Schizosaccharomyces pombe: one gene and its partners. Changing the gene in region 2 together with the main gene of any one other region gives a genetic interaction. Each region holds a gene or a part of one and is shown on either strand. Other genes may lie near its edges. The genes, in order: php3, rps2802, ate1 and rem1.

Region 1 (4,165 bases), on a different chromosome or scaffold from region 2:
AAAGAAACGTTCTTCACTAGAAACAGTGGATCACGGGAATTTGAGTAGAAGGGAATAAAGAAACGAAACGAAACGAAAACTATATGGATTTATAATTAGAGTAACGGCGTAAACAAGATGGACTGTTGTTTTTAAATCCCAGCAAAAATATATATAATCACAACAGAGAAATCGATTTTGTCACAACTAGATGTGACAATAAAACAATTTTAGGTAAAAATCAAATGTTTCTGTTTATGCAGTAGACAATTACCACAAAAAAAAATAGAAATTGACTTGATAATTGTTGAAAAAGTATTATTTGCAATGAATACAAGTCTTTGCAATACTTTTGAATTTTCTTTTAACAATAGCTTGACTACCAAACTATTGTAGGCAAATGAATTTATTATGTAAAGAAATCTTGGTTAAGTTCTATCCTTTTGCGGACCCTTCACCATCACTGGCTACTTGCCATATATATTATAAACTGCCATTATGTTCTACGTAAATTAGCCTGCGTCGAGGAAACGTAATGAATGGGCGGCTCAGCGTTGTATGGAAATAAGACTAGTTAAGTGTCCTTTAGTAATGCACTCGATTACTCTATGTGACGTCGAGAGGACGGAAGAGTAGGAATGATGGTAAAGGCAAAAAACATATTCGTTCTTTTGACAACACACAGCTCGCATCGCCTTCAATTACCCTTGCCAATGTTGCAAGTGATGATGGGTGAGATGGGATAGAAAGAGGAGCAAACTTTTAATCTGATATATCATTGATGTATAGGAAATGAGAAATAAAAATACAACTAGGTTTATAGTGCATTCCACTGTATAATATAAAGATTAGGATAGATACACATGACTTTTGAAGTGCAGAAGTATAGTCAAGTAGGGAATATAGTTGAGTAGATGCGAGTTGTAGAACAAAACAATTCAGTATACGCAATTTTCCCCTACGGGAACATATTTAGGTATGCGTGCGAATGGAGAGTGAAGATGAATGAAATGTAGAAAAAAAAAACACTGGATTGTCAGTTTTGCCATAAGATACATTTACTTTCTTGTTATTCCATTTTTCTACGAATCTTCTTTGCTAGGTTATTTTTATTAACTTTTTCGCAAACACGATTTTAATAACATTGAATTCCTCTTCAGTTATCAGATGTGAACGGTAAATACCAATTGTGAACTATTTCAAACGAACTTAATATTTGCTCTGTAAGTTGTAAAATAAATGTCTCATAATTATTTCGCTGTCAGTTTCCACAATCGCTTCTACTCTTTTTTTATATTTATATTTATATTTTTTTTTTGAATTAAATTAATTCATATTATTATTTATTTTTCTTGGTTTTCTAATGATATGTTTATGATATTTATAAAAGGATTTATTTATTTGCTTTTTGTATGAAGGATCGTCGCTTGAATGACAAAACACTTCTTTTGCTAGTCTCTCCTTTCCTCTTGTTTAACGTATATCACGATTATTTTGTCAGCGTAAAAGTGACATAGGGATTAGATGGCATCCCACTTTCTTTTTACTGGGAAACCTTGGCTTCAAGAGAAGACGCCTCGCCTTCACCTTCATCCCACTTGGGACCTTAAAGCTTCCAAAAGTCTTGCTCGTTTCCCTTATACGCCACTTGAAAGTCTTTTGGCCCCCATTTCGGCCTTTCACCCCACTTACCTAAATAGCGCAGCCCCGTCGAAGGCTCAGAGCCATCCAGTATTGCTCGCCGCTGGAGTAGGTGGAATAGTAGTTAGATGCCCCAGTCGGAAACCGATATATCGTACCACTCGAATTCAGTATCTCTTGTTAATCTCCCACTTTACAACTGCACTATTTAAATAATATTATAGGCCGATACAGTCAGTCTGCGAATTGCTTGCAACCTGTAGAAACAAATTGCTGTTTCTTTTGCAATAACATAGTGTTTCTTTATCGCAATAACCAACTACTGATTTCTTTCCCTATTGGAAGTAGATAGACGTTTACTTTCTTTTGTGAAGAAGCAGAAAGTTAACGTTAAGCCATTACCCTCGTTCATTGCTCAAAAGGAGGTCATTTCTTTTTATTTGATTTGTTCGTCTTTTAGGATCTTCATCTCCTGCTGAATTATTGGATTTCTTTTTAGTTCCCTCCACAAAGGCTCGAGAATAGGTTATCAGCTGTCGATTTTTGTCAAGGATCGTGCTTGCTAGTAGTCAAACCAATTTTAGCGGGGTTTGTGTACTTATTTTCGTTATTTGAGGTTTCTCTGCTCGCCAAAATTAAATTATACAAGTAAAAGATACATTTAATTATCATGAGCGCAGACGGGTTGGATTACACCAATCTCCTACCAATTGCAAATGTCGCGCGTATCATGAAATCGGCACTTCCCGAAAACGCCAAGATTTCCAAGGTATGCATGATTTGTTGAATTGAGAAAAATCGCATTGTCAGTCTCTTCGATTGATTGATTGCTAGTGACGGAGTAGGTCGCTGTGAGTGCGTTCTTCTCTTTTGTTTTGTAATTTTCATGTTGCAGTGCTAATGTCTGACTTTTTAGGAAGCTAAAGACTGCGTCCAAGATTGCGTTAGTGAGTTTATTTCCTTTGTTACTGGTGAAGGTATGGAATCAATAGCAAAAGCCTCATGTATAGTTATTTACTGACCATATAATAGCATCTGAACAATGCACTCAAGAAAAGAGAAAGACAATTACTGGTGAAGATGTTTTATTGGCTTTAAATACCCTTGGGTTCGAAAATTATGCCGAAGTTTTAAAGATTTCTCTCACCAAATACAGAGAGGTAAGGAAAAATTCTTTATTTGAATGGTGATACGTGTACTTCTACTTCCTTGTTGGCTTAGAGATTTAAATTGTCTCAAGCAATGAAGGCGCAACAATTCATTCACTCATACCAAAATTTCATTCTCATAGTCACTTTTCTAACATCTACTCTAGCAACAAGCAAGATCTGCTAGCATGAAAGAAACTAAACAAAGCCGGTCCGAAGAGCCTCAGTAATTTCCTTATATATTTTGCATTAGCGGGGTTTTCCCTGAAATATTTCCTGACTTTTGCAGCGATCGTCGATCGCCTTATTTGTTATTCCTCTCTCTTTTTGTACTCTCCTGTTTTATCTCTGTTTATCTTACAAATGATGCTAATTTACGAACTATGTTAATTTCTACTTTAACCAAGTTTCAAAGATAAGCACTATATTGCCAAAATGGCCTGTTCATATTTAAAACTTCCTTAATGTCGTCAGTATAAATTTAGCAATTACTATTGCCTGTTTACTTAAAGTGTATTATTGTGATTATCCCTCATTCGCTTTTGCTTACTTTTTCATTTTGTTAATCCTGCTACTGTTAACCTATATATTATTTTGAAAAAAATAGCATTTCATTTTTATTTTTACTCATTTCGTCTATTTCACCGAAATCAGCATAAGACACATATAGTCATTCGGTTCATGGAAGGATTAGCCGATGTTTCCGTAGTCATATACGTATCAATCAATAAATTTTCTTATTGTCAGGAAAGTGTTTAATCCTGCTGTAGCTAGTATGTAAATTACCTTCTCAGCGTACGGCTATATAATACCAGGGTCATTTTCCGTCCACCGATTCTAATAGATTCCACCAACTTCGTATGTTAGGGATTCGTGCCTCGTTTCCCATCTGTTTATCTAAAATAACTAATTTAAATTGCCGTAATAAGTTTCGATTAACACATCAAAGCGTTATCAATACTAAGTCTTCATTGTTTGCGCGCTTAAAAATTTCAACCCACACTCCTTCTTATCCTTTACCTACACTACACCGCAGAGACCTCATGACCGCCGAATCAGAGGTAGTTAATTGGCCTGCCAATGAGATCAGGCGTACGTTTTTGAAGTACTTTGAAGATCACGGACATACTATTGTTCCTAGCTCTTCTGTAATTCCTTACGATGACCCTACCTTACTTTTTGCGAACGCTGGTATGAACCAGTTTAAACCCATTTTCCTGGGAACTGTTGATCCTTCTAGTGATTTCGCTAAATTAAAACGCGCTTGTGATTCTCAAAAATGCATTCGTGCTGGTGGAAAACACAATGATTTGGAGGACGTTGGTAAAGACAACTATCATCATACTATGTTTGAAATGTTGGGTAATTGGTCTTTCGGCGATTACTTTAAAAAAGAA
Region 2 (4,079 bases):
ACCCTGTTATTCGAGATACCATTTGGGGGTTTCTACATAAACTTCCTGACTTGGAACGGTTGATATCACGGGTGCATGCCGGAAGAAGTAAACCCGCAGATTTTGTTCGAGTATTAGAAGGATTCCAACGAATAAATAGTGCATTTGATCAGCTTCGCGAGGAATTCATGGAAGTCGCTGAAGGAACTTTACTAGGAGAGATAATTCAAAGTGCACCTAACATGAAAGAGGAATTAGAAGCATGGACCCGAGCTTTCAATTGGCAAAAGGCTTCAGAAGAAGGTGTTTTCGAACCAGAGATTGGCTTTGAAGCCGAATATGATACTTCTCAAAAATACCAGTCCGAACTTAAAAACGAATTGTATGCGCTTTTAGAGCAATACAAGAAGCAGCTAAGGTGCTCGTCTCTTAATTTTAAAAATATTGGTAAAGAGGTTTATCAGGTCGAAGTCCCAAGCGATGTTAAAGTACCGGTTAATTGGTGCAAAATGTCAGGTACCAAAAAAACCAATCGATACTATAATGATGAACTACGAAAGAAAATAAAGAAATTACTAGAGGCGGAAGAGCTTCATTTAGCAATTATGTCGCGAATGCAGGAGAAATTTTATATTCGATTCGATTCTAATTATGAGCAATGGTTGGCTTTAATTAAATATACTGCATCTATTGATTGCTTTTTCAGCCTTAGTCAAGCAGCCGCAGCGTTGGGTGAGCCATATTGTAGACCGGAAATTATTGAACAGAAGGACGGACACTTGTATTTTGAGGAGTTGAGACATCCTTGTATAAACGCAAGTGCGGCTTCAACTTTCGTTCCTAATGATGTCGTTTTAGGAGGTGAATCCCCAAACATGATTGTTTTGACCGGTCCAAACATGGCTGGAAAGTCCACATTATTGCGTCAAGTCTGTATTGCTGTTATAATGGCTCAACTAGGGTGCTGGGTTCCGGCTAAACGTGCTAGTATAACACCTATGACCAGCATTTACACTAGATTAGGTGCCAATGATGATATAATGTCGGCACGAAGTACTTTTATGGTTGAACTTTCGGAGACAAAGAAAATTTTGGACGAATGTGGACCTAAAAGTTTGGTAATTTTAGATGAACTAGGTCGTGGAACTAGTACTTATGATGGTCACGCGATAGCTTACGCTGTACTTCATCATTTGGTTTCTAATATTGGGTGTTTGGGATTTTTTTCTACACATTATCAAAGTCTTTGCGTTGATTTTATGCATCATCGACAAGTACGATTGATGCAGATGGCTGCAGCTGTTGATGAAAAAATCAGACGTGTAACGTTTTTGTATAAGCTGGAAGATGGTATTTGCCCTAAGTCTTACGGTATGAATGTTGCTAGTATGGCCGGCTTACCTGAGAAGGTAATTGATGCGGCCGAAGAGAAGGCCTCGGAACTTGAGCAAGCGTCTGCCAGCTTCATTAACGCAAGCGATGACATTGCTTTAATGAGTGATTTCCTTCAAGTGTTGCGCATATCAAAGTCAATTGAACCTTTGACAGCAGTGAATATACCTCTCATACTTGATTCGTTTGAATAATAACTGTCAACACTCTATCAGTTTTATGACTATTCAAAGCAATATCTTTCGTTTGCTGGCAAGCGGAAGCTTGCTTTTATTTACCATTTACTTACGTTATTTGCATGTTCACATTAATCAATTTTTTTTTTCTACTGAACAACTAAAATATAAATGTTCACACAATAATTGAAATTAACATAAATGTAGGAAGGACCGGAGAGCTAATTAACCAGCAAACTTCTATATATTACACTTCGTAACTGAGGCATTCTCATAACAGATAGATTTAACGAACAACAACGACAACGTAGGTTATTAATGATTAGACACATCGTTATTTGAGAGAAATGGCAAAATACTATAGATAGTGCATTACGAAGCAAGGTGCTAAAATATATCGTGACTGTCATTTTTGAACACAACAAAACTTCATTTTGAAAGACTTCTTGGTCTAACAACATGGATTCTTCAAAGGTCCCAGTTAAGTTGGCTAAAGTCATCAAAGTTCTCGGACGTACTGGATCTCGGTATGTAACAAAGTGATAGATATTCGAATTAAAAACTAATATTGATACAGTGGTGGTGTTACTCAAGTCCGTGTCGAATTCATGGATGACACATCCCGTTCCATTATTCGTAACGTCAAGGGTCCTGTTCGTGAAGATGATATTCTCGTCTTGTTAGAATCTGAGCGTGAAGCCAGGCGCTTGCGCTAGAAAAAATCTCGAAAGGAAAAATACCTGTTTTTCTATTACCGTACTAAATTCATATTAAGGTGCATAATCTAGATCCGGTTGATCGTTCAAAGGACGCCCGACTAGAGTGTACTTTGTATTCTTCAATATGGAAATATCATCGTCTTTTGAATGAACAACTACTTCTGGTAGCATTACTCTCCCAGCCGTAAGAAACACCGCCGTAACTTGTTCCTGTGCTGTAGTTTGATTTTTTTCCCATACAATCTTTCGTTGAGTAGGTCCAGCAAACAAGATTGTTGTAGTATAAGCTGGAAAATTGTAAAATATCTCGAAGGACTGTCCCTGTTTCTCTTTCTTTGAATGTGTCAAAGATCTAAGGAATGTGAGTGTAATTTCGGTAGGTTTATTCAACAAAACCTTCTGGGGAATCTTCCATATATACTCGATAGTGGTACTTTGCATTTCATCTTTGAAGGGTAAAGGTCCAATTGTTTGATGCAATGAAAAATAGAAGGGTAAGTTTTTTAATCGTTCCTTCTTTTCAAACTCTTGAACGAACGATCTGAGACTATTAAAGGATACTTCGCTCTCTAAATGCTGAATAAATTCACTAAATTCATTCCGAAGCTCCTCATTATCAAAAAATGAGTTTAAAATTTTCTTGCCATTAAGTTTCCGAATCTCTTCAGGCAGTACTACCGTACCTTGGGTAATGTTTGATAAAGAAATCTGTTGACAAGCGTGGTCTAATAACGGCATGATATGTTCGATGTCAATGAAATCGAACCGTTCCCATATGTTTACACATAATTTCATAAATACGACATCTGCAAGACGTAGACAATTCATGGAAAACTTCAAATCTATTGACATATCCGAATCAAAATGGCAGCTCGTAAAGCAATCCATAGGGGATAAGACAGGAATGTTGTAAGGTATATCAAAAACATTATCATATGTACCTTGCTTGGTTTTGCGCATGCAATTCCATGAACAGAAAATGATGGGCTCCTTTGGTTGGATATGTAAAAATATTGTACTCGTAAGGGGATCCCTCATATTATTTGTTTTTTCGCAATTTGCTTCAACAATCCCAGCATTTTCAATATGTAATACTTTACCAAATCGAACTGTCTGCCCAGACTCTAAGATGTAGCTCAAGTTAATAAGAAACTAAATAAGGTTAGCAATAGTGAAATATTTTTTTTTACATACTTCATTTCCTTCAACTGGTGTATTTGTTAGGGGTATATACAACTTGGCTACTCCTGGAACTTTTTGGATGTTTTTTATCACCAAGGAATCAGTTTTTGATTCAAGGCCACAATGCGATTCTTCACTAAGGAAAGACTTTTCCAAATTTGTAAAACCGCTATTCTCTATATAAGATAGTTTTATCTCTGAGCAACTTGCTTTGTAAAATCGTTCACCAAACATAATAGGTATACAAGCAAATATTCCATCATTCTGAAACTGCTGCGAAATTTTTGATTGAAGTATATACAGATGGTTACTATGCTTGGTAGGATTCAATACTTCAATTTGTTTGTTAGAATGCAAGCAATCTTTTTGAAATGATAGCACACTGTCTTTGAGTTTAAAAACTATTGTCTTCAAATGATATCTTCCAGGAATAATATCCTATTTCCATTGTTAATAAACATATAAAAGGTGGGATCACTTACATTACAGTGCACGTTAAGTTTTCCGTCCGTTATACTATTATGCAGCGTAAATAGTAGATTCATTGGATTCTTACTCGAAGAAAGAACATAATTACATGTAACTGAATCAACGCTTTCGAGGTCAAAAACTTTTGACTCGCACATAAAGC
Region 3 (5,354 bases), on a different chromosome or scaffold from region 2:
ACCGAAGGTGCCATCTCCAACCTTTCGCACAACATTATATACTTCATCAATTGAAATGCATTTGCGAACCTCCTTGGTATACTTTGGTTGCTTGCCTGTAAATACGGTATTCGTAGTTGGAGTACCCCACAAATACTTCTTCATAATATATCCGCACAAAAATCGAGTTTAGGTACAAAATAGAATCAGTGAAGCACCTCAACAAAAAAGATAAAACATGCGAAATCCTGTAAAAAGAGATATAAAAAAACTTTGTTGCAAAGGCAATATTATACTTGAGAAGCAGCTTCCAAGTAGCATACAGCTTAAACGCAATAAAAATCAAATCAAAATCAGTGATTTTCAATAAAGAATGAAATTGAACAAGTAAATACACCTCTCTATACAAGTATTTATCGTTGAGAAATGGTGTAACTTATTCAAAGAAAAAATGGAAGCGGTAAATGGATTTAAGCCTGTATTAAGAAAATCACAGTGCAAATTAATGAATTCTTTATACAAATGGTACAAAAATAGATAAAAGAACAATCCCTTATTACAACACCTTGTTTTAGGAAAGTAAAAGTAAAATAACTTCAAAATGGCATTCGAAGAAAAAATCAGTGCCTAGAAGTTGAATTGTAAGCCAACCGTGATTAATTATTTTTAAAATGCAGTCAACCCAATTTTGACACGAAATGTCATCGAAATCTGGTGTTTGCTAATACTCTATAGAATGAGAACCTAGCAGTAACACTTGAGAAAGAAAAAAGAAGAACAATTAAAGTAAAATCTCTTCTCTAAATGATAAAATCCTTTCTCACCTACTATGCACTGTTTTGCGATTATATTAAGTCGTGAAGTACCGGTAAACCCGTTTTTGTGTTTGGTTGCAAACAACTCGTAACGGAAAAGCCCACTAAGTTATGTTAGGGTGACATTTTAGGTAGCGTGCAGTTATAAATAATTACAAAATAAATATATAAGCCGGCAGTATTTTATATTATTAGAAATGCTATCAACTTCGATTAAGGGACATAAAAGAGGAAACTATCACACATAAGTAGTAGCATAAAATTAACTTAATTCTGTAAGTCACATTGTAAAATTTACTCTCAAAGCCATCCTGGAGTTCATTAAGATTTTTAAGTAGGATGTTCATATCTTAAGCAAATAAAACACGTAGACAGATAATATATCAACTAGATAAAACAAGTGTATAACTCTTTGCGACTTCTTCGCCCACAGCAGCATTGATTTCAACAAACCAATGTTTAACCTGAGGGAAATAACTTAAAACATGCTGAAGAATTAGCATTGTTACTCAAAAATAAAGACATACTCTTGTGGGGAAAGTTGAATTGCCAATGTTAGCAAAATTCTCCGAAACCAAGGACTCAGCAACATTTACTGAAAGAATTCCAGGAAGCTGTCGATTAAACAGTGTATAATCATCTTCGTTTTGAGATGAATCTTCAGAAGAATCGTAGTCAACAGCAGTTTGAATATCACTATTATTTTCATCCCCGAAACTTATATATTTAGGAGCACCAGTATTCCAAAGTGAAGTAAAGTTTTCAATTGGTATCCATTTATTTGTACCCTGTTTGTATTAGTTCAAGTTAAAATCGAATGTATACGTACGGGATTAAGCAGGTACGATGGACTATACGTTGCCTTATACTTCATTTTGGGACATGTGTGAATATAATAACCTGCAAGGTCAATCAACGTAATTAAATAAATGACATTTTAGCCTACCCATGTAGTAGTACCGATATCCGCATTCAAGAGCAAGCCAGATTTCACGGCAGGCACTAATCCTTCCCAGAGAAAACTTAGACATATCAGGATCATAAAACAGATAAACGCTAGAAACACCATGTGGTAGCAAGTCTAAAACTCCAACTGCCACAAGCCTTCCTTGAAATCGATACATCTGATGATAAGAACCATACTTTATCCCCTTGTCTTCATTAAATAAAGGAGAGTTGCAAAGAAACCTGCTAAATCCTTTTTTCGTGATTTCCTCTTCTTTCTCTAAATGAACTTGCATTTGATACTTTTTGAAGACTTCAAATTTCTCATCGGTGTAAGTGCAAGGCTCCATAGTTACAGAGTATTTTTCAGCTCCGAGCGATTCTATAGTTTGAAAGGCATTGTTCAAATAATCTGTGCTAATTTCGCTTTTCATAGGTTTTAATGGCTTTCCATTTACATATTTGACCCATTTTTTTATTGCCTTCTTTTGCTCTTTTGCAATTTTAAAATTATAGCTGTCGAGTCTTCAACATTCGGCGGTTAGTAATCAATCATATTTGGCGACTTATGCTAAGTACCTGATTGTATAAAGAGAACAGCAAGATGTTTTCCCGTTGGGTTTATATAAATAATGTCCTGAACGTCTTATTTTATATTAGCAATGTTAACTAATAAAGGTTTTTACCTCCATCCCAAATCAATCAATCGCTGGTAGTCCTGAGGTTAAATGTAGGTTAGCAAAATTTGCAAAAAGCAGAGTTATACGCTTACTTCACAACTGAGCTTTTCTGCTAATAAACCAAAATGCTCGGTCTTTCTTCCACTTTTACAATAACCACATTCAGTACTGACGTTGTACCCTGTGTACAACAGTTTATCCAATACCATACTATTGTTTGAAAATTTCCCTGTTTAATATTAAATGAACTATATCATCAGTAGTAAAACTCTTAGTTCAGTTCTTTTGCCTTTATTTTGAAGGCTCTTTGAGTAGGTGAACTAAGACTACACCAATTATTTCTTGAAGATTAAGTACCCTATTTTTCGTTGAGTGCATGTTTATAGAAATTTCCTGATTAATCATATTAAAAAGTCTATCACATTTTCATACGAATATCTAGAAAAAAACCCAAAAAATACATAGTTCTCTTGACACCTTTTACAAGAGTCAATGACAAAAGTGTATACGTCTAATACAACTATAACATGCACTAACGATAAACAAAACATATAAAAAGCGACTAATATTAATATTATCCACGATACCATCCACCAAGTTCTATATATATAAATTAAGTCTAAAAGGTATATCAGTAAACCGTAAATATGTAAAAGACCAACTTCAACAACTAGCACCGTCTAAAGAAAATTAAAGGATAAACAACTCTCAACTTGTCAATCCAAAGAGCGAATTAAAAAATTAGTCTGAAATTATTCTTCATCATCAGAGAAGAATGATTTGGGTTTTTCGGTGCCCTTGGGAGATTGTAACCATGCTAATTCTCTCTCTCTAGCACGTCTTTCTTTGGCCTTGATTTCATTTCTCGTCAATTTCTTCTTTTTGGTAGCTTTAGCCTCAATCTTTTTCAAATCTTTCTCCGACAGATCTTCAAACTTTCCATCGTCAACAGCGGTCTTGCCCTTACCGGTAACCTTACCCGCTTCTACATGCCAGTGTTCAGGACACAACGCAGAAACAAATTCTTCATTATGTGAAATCATAACGACCCCACCTTCCCAATCACGAATAGCAACAGCTAAACCACCTAATGCATCTCTGTCCAAAAAGTTTGTAGGTTCGTCCAAAACCAAAAGCTGGGGGTTATTCCAGAGACACGCAGCAATAACAACTTTAACCTTTTGACCGCCAGACAAACTACTAATGGGGCTGTAATCAGCAATGTCGCCAGGAAGGCCCACATCCTCAAAATGTGCCCTGATGTCTTCGGGAATCAATTCACGGAAACCGAGACCTTCGCGAGAAGATTCCATATCATCAAAAGCCTGTACAAACTTTTGAAACCCATTTTCAAGCAATATTTCTCGAGACACCCACGTATTGTATTTATGAGGCTTCCCAAACCATTTAATTTCATATTGAAATGACTTTTTTAGTTTTTGACGGCCAATCAAAGCTTCCACTCTTCTACGTTCGCCATTGACCGTAATATCACGCTGAAGCTGAGCACGGTCTTCTTCGGTAAGTTTTCGAGATTCCTTCTCTGAAACTTCGCGGTCCTGTCCTCCAGCATAACGCCATTGAATATATTGACTTGGCGTTTTTTCCAGATGTTGATCCAAGTGATGAAAGGCATGCTGAGCAACGTAACCCACACGCAAGTTGGGATGCTTGAAAACTTTTCCTTCTTGAGGGATTACTTCACCGATAAGAACTTTAATAAGCGTTGATTTACCAGCACCGTTAGGACCTAAAATGGCAACACGAGAAGATAAAGATAACCCAACGGTAACATTATCTAATGACTTCTTCTTCGCGTTGGGATATGTATAAGAAGCGTTTGTCATTTTTAATATGAGACGTGTGTTTGAGCGCACACCAGTTAAGATACCGGGAGGTGGAAAAACAAACTTCTCGTTTGTGGCTGTCAATGTATAGTATGATTTAGCTTCCGGTTTGACCTTGACAAAAGCTGAAAGATTACCTTGATAATAACCAAGCTTTTTTGCCTGGTTTTTAACACCTTCATAATGAATGATGTCAGTACACACGTGGTCCAAAAATGAAGAGTCGTGAGAAACTATCAAGCAAGTAATATTCTTTTGAGAGGTTAAATATGCTTCCAGCCATGCAATATTGGCAACATCAAGATGATTTGTTGGTTCATCCAAAAGCAAAATATCAGCTTTCTGCAACATGGCACGAGCCAACTCCAGTTTCATTTTCCAACCACCAGATAAAGAAGCAACAGGATTTTCCTGCATCTCCGCAGTAAAACCAACAGAATGCAAAGCATCAGCAGCTTCTTGACGGGTAACATTCATAGTCAGTAACGCCTTATCTTGAGCAACAAAGTCAAGGATAGCCATACTAGTATCCTCGCCTTGAAGACTATGTGCAACAAAGCAAGTTTTAACCTCATCAGGTGAGGGAAAGTTTTCAACCTTGTAATCACCAATAGCGCGTAACAAGGTTGATTTACCACAACCATTGTGACCAACAACACCGTATCGATGACCTCTATAAAGGTGAAGATTGGTATGACTCAGAAGCAATCTGCCACCGTATGCCAAAGAAAAATCAGTGTTAACTAGTTCCTCTTCCTCAATAGTAAGGTTTGAAATCCCATCAACAGAATTTAATGACTTATAGAAGGCGTGAAGGTCATCATATATCTTTGATGATATTTGTGAAGCCAATTCTTCCCCGACAAGTGGAGATAAATAAAGCACACCTAATTGCGAAGTCCATTTGTCTTTGTCAAAATTATTTGACTTATACAATGCTGCTAAGGCATCGCAGACATAATCTATGATACTGTTGGCCAACTCATGTGGTACACTAGTGTTTTTAAGGACGGCCTCACGTAATTCTTTACAAGCGCTATCTAACGCCTGTTTCTCAGAATTGTTTGCAGCCTTTGCAGCCTGAGCAG
Region 4 (4,420 bases), on a different chromosome or scaffold from region 2:
TGAAATCGATGGTAATCACCTGGTGCCAAGTAAATAACTGCGTAGTATAAACAATTCGTTTCTCTTGATCCGAACAACGTAAACTGTGATTTGGCTGCCACTTTTGTTGAGCTTAACAAATCAATATGTTGTGCGCTAGCATCTTTGACATGGCTTGGTCGTTCACCATGATCATGACCCATTAAATCTTGTAAACTGTAATGTATACCATTTAACTTGGCAAACTCCTCTTGACGAATGTGAGGGATATGATCGGGAGAGGGAATAGCATGGCTGCGCTTCAAACGAGCTAACTTCTCATCGCCCAATAGTGCATCAAGGGAATAGGTTATACCTTTTACTTGTTCAAGCTGACCTCCTTCAATAACACCATAATTCAAGATTTTCCCATCCGCAGGAATAACAATTGGGGCATCGGGATCAATTACGCGCGCTCCAGGTTTCAACTTTCTGGTGAAAAACTCGGCCAGATTTTTGTATTGGCGGACATCATCGGGGTCAGCTTCTGTCAAGTTGCAACCAAATATTTTAGAATAAAGGCCAAACGCTGGCACTCTCATCCATAGAGGAATCTCAATACGATTAACATATCCCCACCAACGCGAGAGAGTTCGTAATGGTAAAGTGGTAAGGACATAAAATTGCCATGGTCCCTCCACCTGAACGCCTTTCTTCTGATACGTTTTCTCGTGACGATCTTGAGCCCAAGCGAAGCCAGCTAATCCAACCAAGCCGATTCCTGTCAACCCATATGCTAAGCGGATGATTCCAACCCGTTTACGAGAGTTGTGTTTTCCCAAACTACTATACCTTGCAAATGCACCAAATTGAGGCTTCACATTACGATGAAATTTTAGCATGTTAGATTGTTTTTATGGAATTAAACTTTTGAATGGATTTCGGAGACCCGTTAACTTTTAAACTTCCATATGCTATTTCTTCGAATCCATGTGCTTCTCAAAGGATAGTGGTAGAAGTTAAGTCGTAGTAAACTTGGGATATCAAGTAAATATGGGAACTGTAATATGATTTAAAGTTGTTGAGTTTTCATTTTCTTTCTTTTTTTTTTTTTTAAGGAAATTAAATCAGATCCTTGACATTGTATCAGGCAATCCTACTTTGCGAAAATCGATCAAAATTAGAAGAAAGGAATATTCCTTATAGCATTGTATAAGTGCAGAAGAAACTTTCGAAGCAAGTTTGTAGAAAAATCTTAGAATAGGAGATTCTTTTCAATTACATTTCAATTTGTTTGATTATAATAACTTACGAGAAGGCGTAAATTAATTATTTTTTTTAAGCTTGTTTGATGGTTACCTAATAGAAAAAAAGCTTAATTGTAGCAAGATTTCTTATGTTCAGTTTTCAATGATTCGAAAACGGTAAAATAATGGAATGTTTACAACCGATGAGCGACTGTAAAAACTCATCAATACAAATAATAAAAGAGTTTTTGATCAAAATCCTTGCTTTACTTTGATAACGTTTCGATCAACACAAAAACCTATTTCATGAATTCGGGCATTGTTTGGAATTTTTAAGCAGCATGAATTCTGATATAGTAGAGGTAAAGTTTAGTTTTGGGTTGTGTTTTACTTTAAGGTTACGACCGTTGGTATATGTATATGGGAAATAAACAAACATTTTCACCATCAACTTTTTGTTGACTCACTGTAAACAAACAGAACCTGCTAATAGCATACTGCCATTTTACAACAAAAAGTTCAAGAAAACGGTTTGATTTGATTCCCAATCATTAAAGAGTAAAAGCAATTGTATTGACTGATACTTGCCTACCTAAGAGCTTGGTTGAAACAATTAAAGCGACCGTTTCAGCAACGAGAACCAATTCAAACATGAACTCTAACAACAAAAGAGTTGCGCTTCAAGAAATAAGCAATTATGTTTCCAAATCATTGAACGTAAAAGGCTGGGTGAACGCACAGGTACGAGAAATATCCCTTCAAAATGGGTGTAGCCCATCAGATAAACATTTTCCGTCACAGAGCTGGCATGGAATTAGTTCAATTGAAGAGTCGCAAATACAAAAGGACTATGATAGTTTTTTAGCGTCACCTTTAGAGGAAGAGATAGTCTTTACGGAGAAACAGCTTTTGGTAGATTTGGATGTTTGCTCGATCAGTAACGTTCAAAGTCCTAATTGCAGTGTTTCGGAATTTGGCATAGCGATTGAAGAATCAAATGACAATTGTGCAGAGGAGGATGAAGAGGAGGAATTACAGATGAGATATTCAGCAGATGAATCGGTGTCTGTGGAATACGCAAAAGAAATCCTATCGCACATGGAGAAATTGGAGGTATGAAAAAAATGGGAAGAAAAGGGGGAAGGAAAACAAGAAGATGAAGGAGTTGAAGAAGTTTTTATTTATTAACATTTTTTAGATTCGATTTATGCCTGATTACCGACATATGTCGGCTCAACCATATTATGTTACAGAGATGAGGGCTAGTGTGATCAATTGGATTGTGGGGGTGCATACATGTATAAACCTGCTTCCAGAATCCTTATTCCTATCGATCAATGTATTGGATAGATTTCTATCTCTACAAAATGTGCCAGCATCGAAAATGAAACTTTGCGGCGCAACGGCGCTGTTTATTGCTTGCAAGTATGAAGAGATCCATCCTCCTACAGTGAAAGATTTGGAAATAGTGTTGGAGGGAGAATGGATAGGAGAAGATATTTGCGGAATGGAAAAGTATATGCTTATGGTTCTTCAATATCAACTTGGGTGGCCGGGGCCAGTATCGTTTTTGAGGCTATTGACGATTGTCAACAAATGGGAGTCGCAGCTGCGAATAATGATAAAATATTTTCTTGAAGTATCGCTAGTGGAACAAAGATTTTCAAGTCTAAGGGCGAGTCAATTGGTAGCGACATGCGCCTACACCGGCCAATCTATATTGCAAGAGGAAAACTGGAGCAATACGTTGCCTCAAATTACGGGATATGATTATATGAGTTTAGTTTCGTATGTGCATCTACTGTTGAAATGTCTAGAAAATCCGTTTGATCACCACTATGCGATCTATTCAAAGTATGCAACACCGTATTTCCATGGGATTAGTCGACAAGTGCATGACTGGATTGCGACAAATACGAACTTGATGGCGATGGATGGTAGTTGAGGGGGGGGGGGAAGAGAAAAAGGAGGGAAAAGAGAGAGAAGAAGAAGTAAGATGTAGGAAATTTAATGAAAGATAGATATGAAGAGGATGAGAGAGAGAGAGAGAGAGAGAGAGAGAGAGGGAAGTGTAGGAAAATAGAGAAAAAAGAAGAGTAGTAGTAAAAGTAGAAGAGTAAGAGTAGGAGAAAAAAAATTACACGAGAGAGTAAAGACTGGGGTTATAGAAGTGAAAAGGGAGACGAACGACTTGATATGGACTTTTGTGAAAGAAGCTCGAATTAAGGTGTATCGCTAAGTAAGAAGGTTTGTAAAAAGCGAGGGAGGGTGGGACGGAATAGAGAAGCGAAGGGTCAAGTTGATGTCGAGAGGTTGGTAGTGCGGTAGATGTCGCTAATAAAGGTTTGTGAGAAGGAGAAGAGGAATCGCTACCAAGTACCTTTTATTAAAGGAGTGCCTTAGAATACAGTAAAAGAAAATAAAAGATGAACAAGACAAGGAAAGAAAAGTACCTAAATTGAACAAGAAAAAAAGAATAAAAAGCAAAATTAAATTAAAAAAAAAAAGAAATAAAGAAAATAAAAAAAAGAAATATTATTATTGTTATTATTATTTTAAATTTATTTTATTTTTATTTATTTGTTTTTTTTTTTTAGTAAGGGTATATATTTTATTAATAATAATTTTTACCTAGTGGTCCTATCTATATCTTGTTGTTGTGTGTATCTAGATGTCTATGCTACCAAAAATCTGTAACCTAATTTGTCTTATCTGATAATATGCTCTATGATACTATGAATAGCCATATCAGCTCATGAATATAGGAATCCTTGGAGCAGTCATTTGATGAAACGAGCAGTTCTTTTGAAAGATGCTTATCAACGTATTTGGGCGTAAATAGAAAAAGTTTGGGTTGTAACATTTGTTGAGTTAAATACATTTGAAATGTTTCAGAGAGTATGCAGACGGAATTGTTGTTGCTGAACATTGGCAAACACATTGATTTGCAAACATCATCGACGTAGCATTTCCCCGGTTTCCCTGTCTCCAAGGGCTCGTCATCATTGCGTCGTTTGCAATAAGCGCAAGCCAACGTGGGGAAACATAGCACAGAGGGGAGAAACAAAGTGCGATAAGTTTAGTTTTCGTAGTGGAGCGAGATGCAAGGAGTGCTTAGGAATGAGAGAAGAGAAGAGAGAAGAGAGTAAAGAGTAAAAGGATGTAAGGGTGTGAAGATGAGAGCATTTGATAAACAAAGGAAAGAAAAAGAGAAT

The links.
Region 1: mutations in rps2802 (region 2) and php3 together harm fitness less than expected from each alone (positive genetic interaction), as found in Schizosaccharomyces pombe (one large-scale study listed by BioGRID).
Region 3: mutations in rps2802 (region 2) and ate1 together harm fitness less than expected from each alone (positive genetic interaction), as found in Schizosaccharomyces pombe (one large-scale study listed by BioGRID).
Region 4: mutations in rps2802 (region 2) and rem1 together harm fitness more than expected from each alone (negative genetic interaction), as found in Schizosaccharomyces pombe (one large-scale study listed by BioGRID).

Annotation. Positions count from the first base shown.
Region 1 is NC_003424.3:2,143,391-2,147,555, forward strand, and holds php3 (CCAAT-binding factor complex subunit Php3), read left to right. Parts: upstream 1-2,290; coding exon 2,291-2,389; intron 2,390-2,536; coding exon 2,537-2,597; intron 2,598-2,652; coding exon 2,653-2,780; intron 2,781-2,935; coding exon 2,936-2,998; downstream 2,999-4,165. Other genes in the region: SPOM_SPAC23C11.07 (uncharacterized protein), read left to right, coding at 1,504-1,836; alanine--tRNA (Ala) ligase Ala1, read left to right, coding at 3,812-4,165. UniProt on the Schizosaccharomyces pombe protein: Belongs to a complex that binds to the sequence CCAAT located upstream of genes involved in mitochondrial electron transport.
Region 2 is NC_003421.2:1,825,288-1,829,366, reverse strand, and holds rps2802 (40S ribosomal protein eS28), read left to right. Parts: upstream 1-2,000; 5' UTR 2,001-2,006; coding exon 2,007-2,074; exon of another isoform or gene 2,075-2,124; coding exon 2,125-2,263; 3' UTR 2,264-2,317; downstream 2,318-4,079. Other genes in the region: msh6 (DNA mismatch repair protein), read left to right, coding at 1-1,565; TRAPP complex subunit Trs130, read right to left, coding at 2,318-3,418, 3,461-3,886, 3,931-4,079. UniProt on the Schizosaccharomyces pombe protein: Component of the ribosome, a large ribonucleoprotein complex responsible for the synthesis of proteins in the cell.
Region 3 is NC_003424.3:2,076,103-2,081,456, forward strand, and holds ate1 (arginine-tRNA--protein transferase), read right to left. Parts: upstream 2,742-5,354; 5' UTR 2,629-2,741; coding exon 2,512-2,628; exon of another isoform or gene 2,458-2,511; coding exon 2,426-2,457; exon of another isoform or gene 2,385-2,425; coding exon 2,319-2,384; exon of another isoform or gene 2,265-2,318; coding exon 1,741-2,264; exon of another isoform or gene 1,695-1,740; coding exon 1,624-1,694; exon of another isoform or gene 1,583-1,623; coding exon 1,322-1,582; exon of another isoform or gene 1,283-1,321; coding exon 1,178-1,282; 3' UTR 1,005-1,177; downstream 1-1,004. Other genes in the region: serine/threonine protein kinase Pit1, read right to left, coding at 1-144; AAA family ATPase Elf1, read right to left, coding at 3,172-5,354.
Region 4 is NC_003423.3:1,952,149-1,956,568, reverse strand, and holds rem1 (meiosis specific cyclin Rem1), read left to right. Parts: upstream 1-1,856; coding exon 1,857-2,318; exon of another isoform or gene 2,319-2,403; coding exon 2,404-3,150; downstream 3,151-4,420. Other genes in the region: phosphatidylserine decarboxylase Psd1, read right to left, coding at 1-860; SPOM_SPBC16E9.20 (uncharacterized protein), read right to left, coding at 4,208-4,420. UniProt on the Schizosaccharomyces pombe protein: Required for pre-meiotic DNA synthesis and S phase progression. Regulates levels of meiotic intragenic recombination.